Linked DNA regions of Arabidopsis thaliana. The protein of the gene in region 2 interacts with the protein of the main gene of each other region in a pairwise test. Each region holds a gene or a part of one and is shown on either strand. Other genes may lie near its edges. The genes, in order: PYL4 and C2.

Region 1 (3,929 bases), on a different chromosome or scaffold from region 2:
CGCTTCTCTCTATTCCATATTTCTTTATTATTATACGAAATTTAATATTATATCTTTTGGATTGGGAAGAACCATAAAGAAAGGAAGTAAAAGATAAAAAAAATTGCAACTTGCATTTTCTTTATATCAAGCGGGAAAAAAAAAGAAGAAGAGAACAGCTTGGCTTGTTGGGTTATCATTCAAAGCATCGTCCACTTGCAAATTTTTATTTCTTTAAATTCATCAACATGTTCGTTTTTTATTTTTTATATTTTGACGGCCATGTTCATATTTTTGTATACATGTATGTTTTGTCCATTTTACGCAATTACCTTTAAGCCTGAAAATCCCCAACTACTCCCTATTTTCTACCAAATAGTTTATGATGACAAATAAAAACTTCAAATCTTGAATTCTCTATCAAATGTTTGATTTTTAAATAACAACTTCACGCTCAATCGGTTATTTTAATTATTATGAAATAATAAGAAAGTAAAAAGTTTGAGGACCTAGTTAAATCATAGAGGAAAGGAACACATTATATTATGCCCAAATTTAAAGTTGCCTTTAAGAAAAATCGTCGAATTTCACAAAAGCTGTTTATACGTACGTAAATTTATCTACACACATTAGATGGCCAACAACTCAATGTAACGAGTTAATATACATCCGAGTCGAACATCATATTGTACCATTTCATTTACGCTTTTTCTGATGAAACTATAGAAAAACAAGATTAATTAAACTTGAAAATCACACTTTTAATTAGCGGACAACACAACCACATTCTTTCAGTTTGAATATTATTATCTTTGGGTGGTGAAAGCCGGAATAGGGCTATCCAAATCGGTTCTTTATGGGATATGTAAAATACAAAAATTAAAAGAAGGATTATGATATGCATGAGAGATTAATTCACTAATGTAACTTTTTTTTCACACATAAGCCGAAAAAACATAGATCACACGACGGCTAAAAATCTAGAAAACGACGTCGGATCTAACGAAACTACCCGACAACGACAAAGACTCATCACAGAGACATCTTCTTCTTGCTCTCAGCCGCAGTATTCTCGGCTATTTTCGCAAGAGATTGAAGATTGCATCGTACGATAACGTCAACGAAGTCACAAGTCTCTTCCTTTGTGTTGCCTGGAGGAACATCAACGACGTAAGACTCGACAACGACGGTCCCGGAGATCGGAGAAGGGTGAAGGGTCGTTACGGATCGGTAGTTAGAGAGCCGGTGGTCACCACCAACAACGCTGAAGCTGATGACGTGGCGTTCGTCGTCGAGGATATCGAGTCTCTCGGTGGAGCTAGCGGCGGGGAGACCAGAGACGACGTGGACTTGACGGAGGCTACCAACGTTATCGCCGTCTCCGCCGATGACGCTACAGCTTTTGAGAAAGTGTTTGTAAGCTTGTGGGTTATCAAAGCGGCGTACGACGGACCAAACGGTGGAGATTGGAGCGGAGATCTCTTGAATAACGGCGGAGCAACACTGATTAGGACCAACCTCGTGTGTGTGAAAACGAGCGGCCGTGGAGTCGCGTGAGAGAGAAGGAAAACGTTTTTGAAACGACGCGATCATCATCGGAATCTGAACGGAATCTCCGTCTGATACGGCGGAAGAAGGACGGTGAACGGCAAGCATGTTGATCTGAGTAATGGTGTCTTCTTGATTTCAAATCTTGATCTCTTCTTTGAGATGGTATTAGGGCTTAGAAAAAAAACTGAGGATTGAAGAGGAAAGTGTATGGAGGAGAAGTATGTGTGTATATAAAAAGAAGCAAATCAAACTTTACAGCGACTTGCGAAAAGTTGGGCTGTGCCTTTCGATTTGAGAGAGATAGAGTTTTTAATGCAGAGTTCATGTGAGTGGTGATAACGAAAAAACCGAGCAAGTTGCTTGTTGTGAAATTACGGTTTTGCCCCTTGCTATAGTTGTTGACTTGACTGTTTTCTATACACGATATTTTTAATTGGGCAAGTGACCAATATATAATTCTCGTATATCAACACTAGAATTATAATATGGGTTTAGACTTTTAGTTTCTTGACCATAACTTTTTTCTCTTCTTCTTGAAATGACCAAGGTATATCTAGGACGAGATTCGTTTGATTGAATACGCTTTAAGAGTTTCGATATTTGGAACGATTGGAATGTAAGATCAAATTCATCAAAACATACAAAGTGAGAATTCTTTCAACTTAGAAGTTCTTCAATTGTTATTTCATAGTATGGCTAGATATATGAGTTTTCAATTGCATATATCTAGCCATACTATATATATGAGTTTTCAATTGCAAAAAAAAAAAAGGTTTTCAATTGCATCAGATGCAAATCTAGATATTTGAAGTATTCAACATCAGAGCCGAATACCACAAAACTAAAAGTGGTACAACCATATATTTAATTACCTGAGAGATTTGATGAACAAGCAGAAGGAGGAACTTTTTGAATGAAAAGTATTGTATTGCTTTTGCTTTGATATGATCTTCAATATACAAAAAAAGGAGCACACAAACAAAAGGGCATGAAAAACCAATCCTCACTAAGAAACACATTTTAAACTATACAAACTAAGGCCCAAATTGTTTTTAGAACCAAACTTTTAATTGGGCCGTATTTTGGAAAGAAAAACTGGTCTATCACAACATACTTTTGTTGTTTGGTTTGGTTACGTTGGCTATAGTATCTAGCTTCGTTATAGGTTGTCTCTTCTTCTACATTGTAACTAGTATTATAGATTTCTATTATTCTCTAGGATATTAGAGTTTACCTAAAGATGTGGAGTTGGCTGATCAGACACAACAAAACGTTCGAAGATATATTTTTGTTGCCGTCGAGGAATTCAATTTCGAGGTTGGGGAAGAATGTGTCGTCTGCCTTGAAGAATATAGCGAGTCTAGACATCCATTGGCCAAGTTGGAATGCCGTCACCGGTTCCATTTTAGCTGCATAATAATATAAACACAAAACATTTACTTGATGCTCTGTTTTCAAGCATTCTGTCTTGTTTCTTTACATTCATAACTCTGGGTTTTCAAACCTTTAACAACTCCGGACATGGACACAAACCCCATCTTAATGATAAGTCATAATACAATGCTATTAGTTCTTTATAATTGCTGTAAATTTTGAATATAAATTTTTTTGATAAGAATAGATTAATATTGTGTATTGAGCTTCACACACATCTTAATATATAAAGCAAAATTAATTCAGTTTTTGTTAACTTAAAATTATCATAAAAATCAAAAACTCGCACAAAGGACGGGTTCTAATATAGTTGATATATATGTTTTACATCTTTTCTTGCTAACATTCTACTAATATCTATATATCTACATAAAAGTACTAGAGAGAATTACCTGCAAGTGAGATTTGAGATATACACAGATGAGTGTATAATATGGTCAGCGGGTCAGGATATGTAACTTTTGTTTGATTATGGGTTTGAAAATGTGCAAATAGACAGACATTACTTCAACTAATTGAGAATAATGTTGGATCCGTATTTGTAGGAATAAAAAATAACTGTTAATTAGAGGTTGACTTCACAGTTCACAAGTCGGGTTCGGGTGTACAAGAATCTTGTCAGGTCACACCTAACTCTTATGATCGTCTCTTAGTTTTTTTTTTCTTTTTTTTTCACAGGCTTAATGGACCCTTTTGTCTAATTTGATGGCATATCTCACAAACCATCCAGTTCCATGTTTTTATAAACATGCTTTTTAAACCTTTAAAATGAAGGACACAAATTAGGATTCTCGGTGCAAAATTGCATGTGGACGTGTAGAAGCAGAAGGAAGATGGAAATTAAGTGTAAAGAAGAAAGGAGTGGTGACGAGAAGCTTGTGAAGGATCGATGGCAAGTCTCTTTACACGTGGGGGGAATGACAAAGTTCTTCTTTTTTCTACTTCATCAAAGCTTACAATTTCCT
Region 2 (3,929 bases):
TGACTACTTTGGGGAGTTGGTGGAAGAGGAATCTCTAGATCGCTCATTGGGGAACGAGATTTGGGTCCCTTGGGATCTATCAAACTTTATACATAATTTAGAATATATCTCAATACTATCATACTACAGTCGAATCTTTTACTTTATTAAATAGAGAAAAATATCACATACTAGTACTACACTTCACTCTTGTCACGGTCGTTTGACACATTATTGTAAAGTCGCCGTGCCACTCATAGTAAAGGACAATTATGGCTCACGTGTTTTGTCGTTATAAAACCATGGTGCTTCACTCATTAGTGTACATCTGGATTCTCTTCACCTACCATCCCTTTTGTGGCTTCTGGCTTTTTCCCTTCGATATTTTATTCTTTCTTCATCATTATTCTTTATGACCTTAATTAGCGCTAATGTACAAGTAAATCTTGTTCACAAAAATTACATAAGTTGTGCTTCAGTAACGTACACATAAAACCTCCAATGTCAATGGTTTAAAAAAGGCCTATCGATGTCGATGGTAAATGGTAATATGCTGGTCTTTTTTTCACTTTTTACCTATAAACATTAGTACATCACATGTGTTAAAACAATCTACCATTCATAAGTATATGGAACGATAATTAAATAAATAAAATATCTGTATTAGTTGTTCGTGTAAATGCCTTATTTAAGGCATAGCTAGCCCAAATATACATACACATCAACAATACACCACATTTACATATCCACCACCACGACTCGACTTGGACTCGATCACCATATGGGAACAAAACTTCCCTCAACGTTCTTAATCCTTATATTTCCATGGATTAATACGTGTTTCTAGTTCACTATATCCTTCAAGATTGAAATTACTTGTTTTTTTCCATGCTGTTACTTGGTTTAGTTCAATTTGAAAGAAAACAACTCAAAGTAACGGTAAATAAGAAAAGAAAAAAGATTCATAGACCCTTGGAGCCAGGGAGGTCAATCCATTGAAGCTGAGCCTCGACCTCTCCGCATTCCACATGTCGCAATCTGAGAACGAGATCCTGGACGAGCTTGCCGTCGACCCAGGTGACACGTGACTCCTCGGCTAGACAGTTACGACGACTTGGCTTAACCGTGGTCACAATGGTTCCACTAGGAAGTCCATCGAGTTGCATCCTCAAAGCCTCAATATAGGGCTTTATCTCGAACTCAGCATCGCCCATCTTGTCGTCTTTGCTAAACATGTCGTGATCATACACCGTCTACATATAACATTATAGTTTTATCAATATAAACATCTTATGATAAGGAAATTAATGTATGTTTTAGTAAGTAAAAAGTACCAAGAGGACGGTAAGATTGGAGTCTGTGACGGAGAGAGTCAAATCTTCATTCCATTCTGGATTAACATCTTTGTTAATGACACGAGTCTTCAATTTCTGTAAGATTTAATATGATAATTTGAGAATGTTTTTGATGTAATGAAATTGCATGTGAAGTTGTAAAATGATGAATGGATTAACCTGTTTGCCCATCTTGACGACGACGTAAGGATCGCTGCTACTGATGTCACGGACGGCTAAATTGACGCCACGTTTGATACGGATTCTAAGGAGGCCCAAGAGATCGTCCATTAGTGAGCTTGTCCTCGCCGGACACGCCGTTGTCATTTCCTTTATTAATGTTCCTGATTATTTCTTCCTTACTCACTTTCTACAACCCTTTTTTTTTGTTAACGCTGCAACCAACACACGTTTAATTCTCGGGGAAAAGCACAACCGAGATAAAGAAAAAAGGTTAAACGAACCAACTCACCCGTGAAGATAATTCAAAGGTCTCTTTAGTTTCTTTCGTCAGATTTCGTTCCGTTCAAACTATCATCGCTAAATATTAGGGCAGGTCTCTTTGGTTTCTACTCCTCTTTTTTTCTGTTTATTTTTTTTGAGTCGTGGGGAGGAGATAACGTGCGAGAAAAGAAAATGATAAAGACAAGATAGTTAAAGACATGACCTTATTTTTGACGCTACGCTGACTAGAAGTCGACCGGGAATGCCGGTATCCGGTGTTTAAGATTAACATTACTTTTTGATATCCAATTTTAGAGAACGTTTAAAATAAACATCGGATATTATAATTTTCCATTCTCGGCGGACTTGCAAAAGGTATCTCTAGATAAAATGCCTAAATATCAGACGCAAAAGACAAGTGTTGACAAAATTGGCCTATACTCTTGGACAAATTCTAAGGAACAAACGTTTTCTCAATGATCGGTGAGGTACGGACAAAAGAAGCTCACTGGAATTTTCTCAGTCTCTCTGCTGAGAGAGACGCTCGTTTGTTGTTTGGTTCCAGCACAAGTGCGTATCTGAAATCTGCAGAGTTTATGTTATATTCTGCCAGATTCTACAAGGCGAAAAAACAATCAGATTATGTTCTTTAAAGCTTACCTTCTATGGCTCCCTTGCAATCGCCTAACATTTCTCTTGCGGTTCCTCTTCGTAAATAGGCTTTAACATTCTGAAAGAAATCAAAAACGATCTTTGTGTTGTGTGTTCTTACAAAGTAAAGAGTGTTTTTTTTTCAAGAGAAACCTGTTTCTGTGTTTTAATGAAAGTTACCTTCTTGTCGAGGGTGATGGCTTTGGTACAGTCTTCTTCGGCTTGAAGAAAGCTGTATGTAAATGATTTGTCAAGGCAATGCCACATAGAAAGATTTGCTCACTAAAAAGTATTTTTAAGGATCTGAGAAACATTTACCCTCCAAGTTCAAGATATGCAGCAGCTCTGTTACTGTAATAGGTAGCATTGTTGTCACTTAGCTTTATAGCTTCTGAGTATAGACCAATAGCTTTCTGCCATAGTTTCTCTTTGAACGCTTGGTTACCCTGGTTTACATAATCACGGGACACAAAGATATAATAACCACATTAGATTATGGATGATAATGCCATTAAGAAAATGAGACATGCAATGGATATTAATTGACCTTCTCTTTGGCAATCTCGGCTGACTCTTCTTTGGTGATAGCCTTTTTAGAAGATTTGGGATCGGTAACAATACTCGAGTACTCTTGCAAAGATGGATACATTGTCTGCACTGTATCTAGTAAAAAGCGGTCACCACCGTGTCTTCCTATGAAAGAAACTGAAATAGGGCATTTCTCATGATGTCCGAGTGGCACAGTCACCTGAATCATCAGCACGATAAATGTAAGACACATATACTGTGGATTGGTTTTGCTAACACTGACTGGTCAGTGGTTGCTTTTAACATGTGTGAGGGGAACTTTACTAGCATGGCAGGTGAGAGAGAGAAAGAGAGAGATTTAACCTGACAACATCCTGATATGCTAGCAATGCTAAGCAGACTTGAAGCTCGGTTTTGATAGTCTTCAGATGTTATCTCCTTGCTACCAAGTTTTGGAGGAACAGCTGGCAATGTTGGAATTACCAGAATGCCATCATCCTTGATACATAACGTTACAGAGTTGGGAACCATTAGAGATTAGTCAAGAGACATATAAACTAACTCGCTCAAGTTGTGGACATGTCATGGAAGAGCAGGAATACCTTGAGAAGTGAACCAATAGCCACTCGAGTCTCGTTTCTGATAGCATTCAGGTTCTCAGTCTCTTCATTGGTTAGTTCTGGGTTCTCACACACTTGTGATAAAATCACAGGATCAATGGCTGGCTTCACTGTGTTGATCCAATCCCCATGATTTTGAAGGAACTCGTGCCTACAATGCCAATATTGTTATAGAGTGTTCAAAACTAAGATATTTTCATCCTCTGTAGGTGAATAAACAATAGGCACACCTTTGAAGGAGCTGCATCACATTCGCCAGTAGTCTCGATGTTGAGACCTTCGTGTTAGCAATGGCTTTTGTCCTAGCGAACTCTTTCAAGCTAGGAACTTTAGTTTCAAAATAGGTCTCCAAGTTCTGATGCTTTAGCAATTG

Evidence for each region.
Region 1: the proteins of C2 (region 2) and PYL4 interact in a protein complementation assay, tested with the Arabidopsis thaliana proteins (one study listed by BioGRID).

What each region holds. Positions count from the first base shown.
Region 1 is NC_003071.7:16,047,957-16,051,885, reverse strand, and holds PYL4 (PYR1-like 4), read right to left. Parts: upstream 1,969-3,929; 5' UTR 1,636-1,968; coding exon 1,012-1,635; 3' UTR 530-1,011; downstream 1-529. UniProt on the Arabidopsis thaliana protein: Receptor for abscisic acid (ABA) required for ABA-mediated responses such as stomatal closure and germination inhibition. Inhibits the activity of group-A protein phosphatases type 2C (PP2Cs) when activated by ABA. Can be activated by both (-)-ABA and (+)-ABA.
Region 2 is NC_003074.8:6,150,128-6,154,056, reverse strand, and holds C2 (Calcium-dependent lipid-binding (CaLB domain) family protein), read right to left. Parts: upstream 1,996-3,929; 5' UTR 1,786-1,995; intron 1,709-1,785; 5' UTR 1,641-1,708; coding exon 1,494-1,640; intron 1,410-1,493; coding exon 1,314-1,409; intron 1,233-1,313; coding exon 942-1,232; 3' UTR 243-941; downstream 1-242. Other genes in the region: TOC64-III (translocon at the outer membrane of chloroplasts 64-III), read right to left, coding at 2,263-2,342, 2,418-2,487, 2,589-2,640, 2,727-2,854, 2,956-3,156, 3,300-3,434, 3,539-3,707, 3,787-3,929. UniProt on the Arabidopsis thaliana protein: Mediates the transient calcium-dependent interaction of PYR/PYL/RCAR abscisic acid (ABA) receptors with the plasma membrane and thus regulates ABA sensitivity. Stimulates the GTPase/ATPase activities of YchF1, and regulates its subcellular localization.